Linked DNA regions of Neurospora crassa OR74A. Each later gene encodes a partner of the first gene's protein in a complex. Links are inferred from orthologs where the notes say so. Each region holds a gene or a part of one and is shown in the gene's direction. Other genes may lie near its edges.

The links.
Region 2: the proteins of NCU00725 (region 1) and NCU05959 are in contact, whole or in part, in a crystal structure (PDB 3ONL), measured with the Saccharomyces cerevisiae proteins. The link is inferred for Neurospora crassa OR74A from reciprocal best matches to the Saccharomyces cerevisiae genes ENT3 and VTI1. Residues at the interface, in NP_012659.1 of Saccharomyces cerevisiae: Asp53, Ser56, Gln57, Thr59, Tyr60, Asn61, Phe62, Glu64, Arg65, His100, Gly101, Ser102, Glu103, Arg104, Arg154, Arg157, Lys158, Arg161; in NP_013924.1 of Saccharomyces cerevisiae: Leu31, Asn35, Thr36, Leu38, Lys39, Glu42, Gln43, Gln45, Asp46, Asp50, Lys88, Gln92, Leu94, Val95, Asp96.

The regions. Positions count from the first base shown.
Region 1 is NC_026501.1:7,405,035-7,409,567, forward strand, and holds NCU00725 (epsin-3), read left to right. Parts: upstream 1-1,578; 5' UTR 1,579-1,803; coding exon 1,804-1,885; intron 1,886-1,961; coding exon 1,962-1,993; intron 1,994-2,099; coding exon 2,100-2,179; intron 2,180-2,247; coding exon 2,248-3,619; 3' UTR 3,620-3,915; downstream 3,916-4,533. Other genes in the region: csr-1 (peptidyl-prolyl cis-trans isomerase), read right to left, coding at 1-63, 158-297. UniProt on the Saccharomyces cerevisiae protein: Involved in the recruitment of clathrin to the Golgi network and endosomes to form clathrin coated vesicles. Plays a role in the trafficking of clathrin between the Golgi network and endosomes.
Region 2 is NC_026506.1:3,311,408-3,315,251, reverse strand, and holds NCU05959 (vesicle transport V-SNARE protein VTI1), read left to right. Parts: upstream 1-1,749; 5' UTR 1,750-2,066; coding exon 2,067-2,466; intron 2,467-2,542; coding exon 2,543-2,741; intron 2,742-2,817; coding exon 2,818-2,905; 3' UTR 2,906-3,315; downstream 3,316-3,844. UniProt on the Saccharomyces cerevisiae protein: t-SNARE found in various SNARE complexes involved in multiple transport pathways. The composition of the t-SNARE complexes is specific for a limited number of v-SNAREs and therefore allows only the vesicles carrying the matching v-SNARE to fuse.

The DNA.
Region 1 (4,533 bases):
ATTTCGCTGGTGGGCTTGTTGTTGGGGCCGAGGACGGGACCCTCCCACTCGAGATCGAAGAAACTAAAGCATGCAGGTCAGTCGGTGTCCCTGAAGCTACGGGTAGGTAGGCGCAGCTCCCATGTTTGCGCGGACCTGGAGAAGCGGCTGGACTTACACCTTGGACATGATGCTGGATGTTTGCGAAAAAGCTCTGGCGCAGGAGAAAGTTGCAGTGGGCTTGAGAGATGACGAGAAAGTCGAGGAGACGAGAGAACCTGTTGTCTTAAGGACAGAGAAATGGCGGGGTCCAAACATTTTCACTAAAATGGAAAGGAGGGGTCAGCCAATCCGAGAAGTGGGGGGCGGAGAAGGTACGTAGCTGCTCGCCACGTGATTGATTGTTGCGACTCGAGCTGTCGGCCTGTCGCCACGCCGCCTGTTTCGGTCTCGTTTGCCAGTGCGGCGGGAGACGACGAAACAGCAGGTCAGCTTGACAACGTGGAGTGGTATGAGCCTCTGCAAGTGTCATCTTTGGCGCATGTGGGCTTCGGATTGGTTCGTTGGCTCAGGAACACCAGTACGAACAAGTAAACAGCTGCCATCTGGTGTTGGCGCTTCCCCCCCGAGTCTCCAAGGTCCCGTCGGCCCTGACGCTGACGGCAATGACAATCAAAACTGCCACCACCCGTGTGTGTATAGTTGGCAGCTAAAGCGCTGGCAAGAGCTATCCAAAGACATCCGGGCCAAAGGACCGTAGACCCATGGCTCCATCATATGGCTTGTTGGGTCTTCATAGCGTTGCGATTGCCTCTTTCATTTGGAGTCCCCCTCTGTCAATGCAGCCATTGACGACATTGCGGAGCCATGGACGATACCCCAAGCCGAACAAGAGGGATGGACGGCATTAACGACCTTGATGGCCATGTCTGGGGTAGGGACCAAAAGGCGGTGGTGGTATTGTCAAACTAACAAACCTCACCCCTCATCTCGAGCGTGGATGGAAAAAAGGACATTCGAATTGAATCTGATGCCAAGAAATCCCGGGAATGGAAGCTCTCAGAGCTCTGCCACAGATAGAGCTTGGAGCTTTGGGCAAGCTCCCAGCCGGCAGGGAGAGCTCCTCTAGACAGAAAAGGCTCAAGAAGAACATGGCAACAAAAGTAAAAATGATAACGTACCGGTTGTGGAAGATGAAATCCTGGATGATTGTAGGATGATAATGAAGCTAAAAGTACAAGGTAAAGTCCGAACAAACGAACGATGGAAATCTGCTACACGGCGATGGATGCACAACAAAGACCTGAGACGAGAGGGAGAACGGAGTCGGGTCGGGTGTTTAACAATTTTTACTCCATCCAAAATGCATGGAAGCGAGCTCCGGCGGCCGAGCGTCCCCTCCCGCCGCCCCGCGTTGTCGGCCGGCCCGGCAATTACAAGCAGAATTCTTGCCTGAAAACTCAGGCTTCAAAGAGCTGAGACGCTCGTGCCAAGCTTTCAAAGTCTTGGCAGACCTCCTGGGTTCCACTGGCTTCTTGGTGTCAGGGTGTTGGGTCAAGCGCAGGGGTCGGCCTTGGACGGCGTCAGTTGAGGTCAGCGCTCAGCGGCACCCTGACGCTAGGCCACCTCAATGTCCATCTGATCCCGACAAGACCGTGAAACGTCGCCCTGAAAGCGATCAGCCCGAACAAAAACCACCAAGTCGCCACAGCATCCCGCCCGTCTGGCAATCATCACCGCGAGGCTCAGATTGGATCTAGAGAAGAATTACCTTAGCCCATCAGAACAATTCCCAGCAACTCCGGCGATAGACACGTTTACGCAATGGATTTCAATAGCCTCAAGGATACCGTGTCCAACCTGACACTCTACGACATCAAGGCTGGCGTACGAAAGGTTCAAAATGGTAGGTGACCACCTAGTCCAGAACCAAGACTCCCTCATGATTTCGTGTTCAGGGTGCTGACAATGGCTCCAACCAGCTGTCATGAACTATACCGAGATGGAGTCCAAGGTATGCCCGTATCCACGCGCCACACTGGCACCATTCTCTTGCGCCCTTCGCCATATACTTGATCCCAGACAAGAGACCATGGAACGGGAGCTGACAGCGAACCCAGGTGCGCGAGGCCACCAACAATGAACCTTGGGGTGCATCGTCGACTTTGATGCAAGAGATCGCCGATGGCACCTTCAACTAGTACGTTCTCGAGAACTGCTCGCTTGTATACGAACGCGGCTAACTTGCGTTTCCCTCCTTGTTCTTAGCCAAACACTCAACGAAATCATGCCCATGATTTACCGCCGTTTCACAGAAAAGTCCGCCGAAGAATGGCGCCAGATCTACAAGGCCCTTCAACTACTAGAGTACCTGATTAAGCACGGTTCCGAACGAGTGGTGGACGATGCTCGGTCGCATCTTACCCTCCTCAAGATGCTGCGCCAGTTCCATTTTATCGACCAGAACGGCAAAGACCAGGGTATCAACGTCCGCAACCGCGCCAAGGAACTCGCCGAGCTCCTCAGCGATGTCGAGCGTATCCGAGCAGAGCGCAAGAAGGCCCGCGCAAACAAGGGCAAGTTCACGGGCATTTCGGGTGGAATGAGCTTCTCCAGCGGGAGCAGCGGACGTTATGGCGGTTTCGGCAACACTTCGTATGGCGGTAGCAGCAGTGGTGGCGGTGGTAGCAGCTCTACCTACGGTGGCTATTCTGGAGGAGTTTATGGCGACGGAGGTGTTTTTGGTGGCCAGCCTTCCAACAACGACTACCGCGGGACCCAGGCACGGGCAGAGCAGTTTGAGGAATACGATGCAGGTGATTTGGACGCTGAGGCGTCGTCTCGTACCGCGCCAAGGACACCACGATCCACGACAGAAAGAGCCGGGGTCAAGAAAACAACAGCACCCGCCGAGCCGCCCAAGAAAAAGGAGCCCGAGATCGACTTGTTTTCCTTCGACGAGCCCGCAGCGCCATCCATCCCGACCGCGCCCCTCGCTGCCGCACCTTCCAACGGCTCTGGGCTTGCGGCTCTAGCCGGCGGCGCCAAAGACGACGACGACGAGTTCGATGATTTCCAGTCTGCAGCCCCCGCCACGCAGCCTGCTTCTGCAATTTCTCCCCCAATCGCCCCCCTCTCTACTGGCACACAGTTTGTTGCCCCGCAACCAGTTTCGGCGCCTCAGCAGGCCAACCTTAGCGGCATGGTTGCCCTCTCCTCCATCTCTCCTCCTCCCAGCTCCACGGCGACTCCTGCTGCCAACTTCTCGGCTTTCTCCACGCCCCTTTCGCCCGTCTCCCAGGCTCCCAAGCCAACTGGCTTCCAAGCCGGTCAGCCAAACTACTTTTCCCCGGTACAGCTGCAGACCCAGTCCACCGGGTCCTCGCTTTCAGGAACCAAGGCAACCGGTTCAGCTGCCTCCAAGCCAGCCGCTGGCGGTGACGCCTTCGGTGCGCTGTGGTCGCAGGCTAGTGCTGGAATCAAGAAGAGCACGCCTACCACCAAGGGTCCGGCTATCGGACAACTGGCCAAAGAGAAGAGTAGTGCTGGTATTTGGGGAACTCCTGCGCCCTCCACTCCGACCAGCGGTAGCAGGCCCACCACTGGCGGCAACCACGGGTTGGACGATCTGCTCGGTTAATTACCTGACTGGGTGTGAGGAGTTTTCCAAGGAGTATTTAGAACCGCTGTCGTCTACTTACGGAAGCGGGATCCTTGGAGTAGATCAAGGGTGTGCAGTTACACAAAGAGGAGATGAGCAGTTAAACGATTTATATTCCACGTAATGTTATTGGAGGTAGGGGTGGGTATCTTGCAGCGCCTCTCGTCTGCAACAAAATTTCACGTCTATTTATGCTGCATTCGGCTTCTTTGTGTTTGTCACGTTTTGTTTCCGCGTGCGAGTCCCTCAAAGAGTGAACTGATCCGTAACTTAAGTCCCCGTATACACTCATCCTCACCTTCACAATTCCAGAAGACCCAAGCCGGCTGTTGAGTCGCTCATGGTCAAGTAACCCGATGTTGCGGTCGATCTGTTGTTTTATCTTGTGGAATTCGCATAGCTTCCATCCCTGATGTTCGTTTGATGGAACTTTTACCACTGAAGCTCCTTGCCTTCTTTATTGGCTTCACTTCTGGCCCGTTATGAACTGGTGAACCCCCTCAACCCCCCCCCCCCCCCCCCCCCCCCCCCCCCTTTTCCGTCTGTCTTTATTTTTCTGGCATATCAGCCTCCTCGAATGGTTTGAACAACCGTAAGGCTGGAGCATCATCCCAACATGCAGTCCATCAACATGAGCTAGAATACTTCATCCAATAGTGAGTTCATGGATCGCAAAGTATGTGTCCAGTGACTCAAGCCTCCGCACTCGCCCTCGGCTCGGTATGACGGCGCAAGGCCAGCCTCGAACACCCTCGACCCACCGATCACAACCTCAACAGTCGATCAGTCATTACCACCAAAATGATTAATGACTACGAGCACCAAAGCGCACACTCATGGCCAATGCGTCGAAACGTCTGTTGCCGTGAGCAACACGGAAAAATCACAGATCA
Region 2 (3,844 bases), on another chromosome or scaffold:
AGAAGAAGACAAGGAAGGCCCTGATGATGTTTTGAATTAATTAGCTGTTCCGGATGGATAAGGTGAGGAGCTGGAGAAAAATAAGACCCTGGGCTACCGGAGCCTCTGGAGTTCTTGAGGAGCCCGAAGAGAAGCAAAGCCTCGGACGTTGTTGTGGTGTGTGGAAGGATGTCAAGAGAGAAACCAAACAAATCAAGGGGGACCTGGGCAGACTCGGAGTGGCAGGGGAGGGAGCACCAACAAAGTGGATGACCAATTGGCGTCCGACTGTCACCGTGTCTTGGCCTCACCCCTCTGACTGACGGGGTCCAAGCCGTGGCCGAGCTGCGAGGAGCTCCAAGAGGTTTGGAAACGGTGGTGTTGCTGTGCCAGTGGCCGGTCACGACACCCGCGGCGCCCAAAGAAGAAAAAAAGCGACGGCGGAAGCGCACGGCAGATCCTGCTAGATCCTGGTAAAGGTAAGCGGGCAGGGGACTGGCCAAGCCCTGAGCTAGCCTGGCCAAATTAAAAAAGATGGGGCCAATTCGGTGCCGATGGTGGATGACGGTGGACGCCGGCAACGGTGAGTCGCTGAAATCGGCCGCCGATGTGTCAAAACCGTCGGACGTTGGCGTGGGCTTTTTCCTTCGGCGGCGGCGGCGGCGGTACGTAACTCGATCCTGGTGAATGTCGCCAACACTCTCCACTAGCCAAGCGATGATGTATTCCAGCGAATCCTATGGCGTGCCGAGAGTGGATCAGCCTGACAAACCTTCGAATGAAGAACCTCGCAGCGAATTCTCGAATTGTGACCGGGGTCGCTGATTTGTCCGTTGGTGATGGATGTTTTGTGGTGGAGGTTTAGTCAGACGGGTCGGTATCGCTGGGCTGAAGCCTGGTGTTGCTGGACGACGAGCAACAGAGAGAGTGTATGAGTGCGTGTATGTGTGTAAGTAAGTGTGTGCCACGAGGCCGGACCAGATGGCCATGAGCAGTCCTGGTGTTTTGATGTCGGCGACGAAATCCGAATGTCATAGCTGACATATATATGATTTAACAGAAGGTGCAAATCTCGTGGCAATGTCGAGCAGCTACCTACTATTTGCGCCGCAAAACAACATTGCCGACCAATCCGACCCGACTGCCAGGAGAACATTTTCCCAAAGCATCGGTGGCGACAGACTACAAACCCAAAAAAGACTTGGAAAATTCAAGACACCAACCAGAAACAAAAGGCTGGCAATGTGTCCATTTTCTGGGGAAACCAGCCAAGGTTCGCGTCAAGCAGCCGTGACAGTGTCTAGGCAGTGTACACTATATTATCTTAGCATGTCTTGGGACGTGGCCGTTGACTGGACCTTCTAAGCGATATGTCCCCCAAAACAGTTCCCTTCCCTAGGTCGTCATCGGTCTCAATTCGTTGCTGGCTGGTGAAAGGTCAACTCAGTCATACAAAGAAACCAATTGAAGAGTTTCAAGACGCCAAAGTCCCCGGCAGTCCCAGGCGGGGTTGATACGTTCAACTGGACACGGTCCGTGTAAGTTACACTTTGCAAACAATACATACAGCGCTTGCGTACACGTACTGCAACAACACTGCAATACATGCGGCAACGCCAAGCATGTGTACGTCACCCGCCTAGGCTGCAACTGTAACCACTGTAACTGTATGTAACAAGCGGAATGTCATGTGCCCATGCTGGTCCGTGCCCACAGCTGCTGTCGTCTCCCGCCTGCGGCCTGCCTGCCTTTCAGTTCGCTTGTCAGGCTGCTGAGACGACCGCAACGACTAACGGGGCTCGAAGCACACTGGTGTCGCTGGCGACAGACAACATTCGACGACGACCACTACTCCTTGCGATCAGACCAACCACACGCCAGCCCAACCACATCTCGTCCAACGCGACCGCATCAACGACGCCCCTCTTTGGCATGATTAATGACGAATCTGAATAATTGAGAATAACGATACCCGCCGATAAACGAGCATCACCCCGATACGGCCAGCCCGACGACAGCACCCCCACACCTGCCCCGAACCCCAACCTCCACATCCGATAGCAACACATAACTCCATTGAATCCAAGATGGCCAACATTCTCGACAGCGAAGCCGGCACAGAGCTCTTCAAGCATTATGAGACGGAATACCAGCTGGTCCAGGCCGACCTGGTCCAGAAGCTCGACCAAATCTCGGAGCTGACGGGCGAGCCCAGGAAAGCCGCCCTCAGCACGGCCGAGCGCGCCCTGGAGGAGGCCGGCGAGCTGCTGGACCAGATGAACATGGAGAAGCAGAACGTGCCCAGCTCGTCGCGGACCGCCATCAACAAGCGACTGCGCGACTACCGAAGCGACGTGGACAAGTATCGTCGCAAGCTGCAGACGCTGGCGACGGACCGCAGCGCCCTGTTCGGCGGCAGATACACCGATAACCCGGGCTCTTCGAGTGGCGATAGGCATTTTGAGCAGAGGCAGCAGCTGCTATCTGGTGGGTGGTGGACAGAAGCACCTTATACATGGCAAGAAGAAACGGAATGCTGACTATTTCCCCCGAAACGTAAAAGGCACCGACCGGCTCGATCGGAGCACACAACGCCTCAAGGCCAGTCAGGCGCTGGCCGCCGAGACAGAGGCTATTGGCGCCAGCACCCTGGCCGACCTGCACCGCCAACGCGAAGTCATTGAGCACACCACCACGATACTATACGAGAGTGAAGGCTATGTGGACCGAAGTGTCAAGACACTAAAGGGCATGGCACGCAGGTACCACCCTCCCCTTTTGTCCCAATGCGAATCATGATGATTAGGTAATACTGACCACTTGCGCCTTTACCATTAGGATGGCTACGAATCGGATAATCACCATTGCGATCATCACCGTGCTGGTCCTCCTTATCATTGCGGTTATCGTTAGCAAGTTCAGGTGATTGTGTCGAGAGAGCTGAGCGAATCCATAAAGAAGCAATACAACATCAGGTAGAACAGGCAGGGGTGTTCAGTGACATCACGATATATACGAACAGGTGGTGGATGGTTTGGACTGTACCGATGGAGCGTTTGTTATAACAGAGACATGTTCCAGTTCCATGTTTTTCGTATCGTAGGGATGGTATCGTACGGGGGGTTGTATTTTTACACAGACGGCGTCACAAAGGGAGGTGGTTTCGAAATTTAGACGTATTTCTTTCTCATGACCATACGGCGGCCTTGCTTCCATGGACGTTCCGACATCCGACAGGGGAAAACGGCTCGCCATGTCCACCACAACTCGCCGCCACATGGGTAGCGGATCGTTCTCTATGATTTCAAATGATTCTCCTCTGAGACATAGTATCCCTGACTTTGGTCGGTGTTGACCGGGGCCTTGGTTAAAACAAATTTTCTGTTGGCCACTGTTGTTTGAATGATTTGCGTTCACCACACCTCTGCTGGGATGTGACTTGGTAGCTTGGTAGTTCTACAAGAAACAGAGAGCGAGCCTTCGACAAAGTCGCTATTTCTTGTGCCCAAATTAAGCTTCTTTGCCACCCTGAAGAACCGTGGTGTACTGTGTATATCCCAGCAAGAACTGTGTCTTGGTAACTCATGTACACTACAGGCCTATTACAAATGAGTAGACTAAGAAATTTTCCATGTGATGGAAACACGCATCACTGCAAATCACGTCAAGTCATCTTCTTCGAGATACTTTCGTTGTTGTTAACATTTGCATATAACCCCACTTTCACAGATACGCAGTACATAACGGACCCTCAGACCTTCCACAGCTCCAGTTGAACTTTAGGCGGTGAAAAAAAAGAAGTCCACCGGACTGATGTTCCGCAGCTCAAGCTGCAGCTGGATGGAGATCGCCGGTCTCTCCCCGG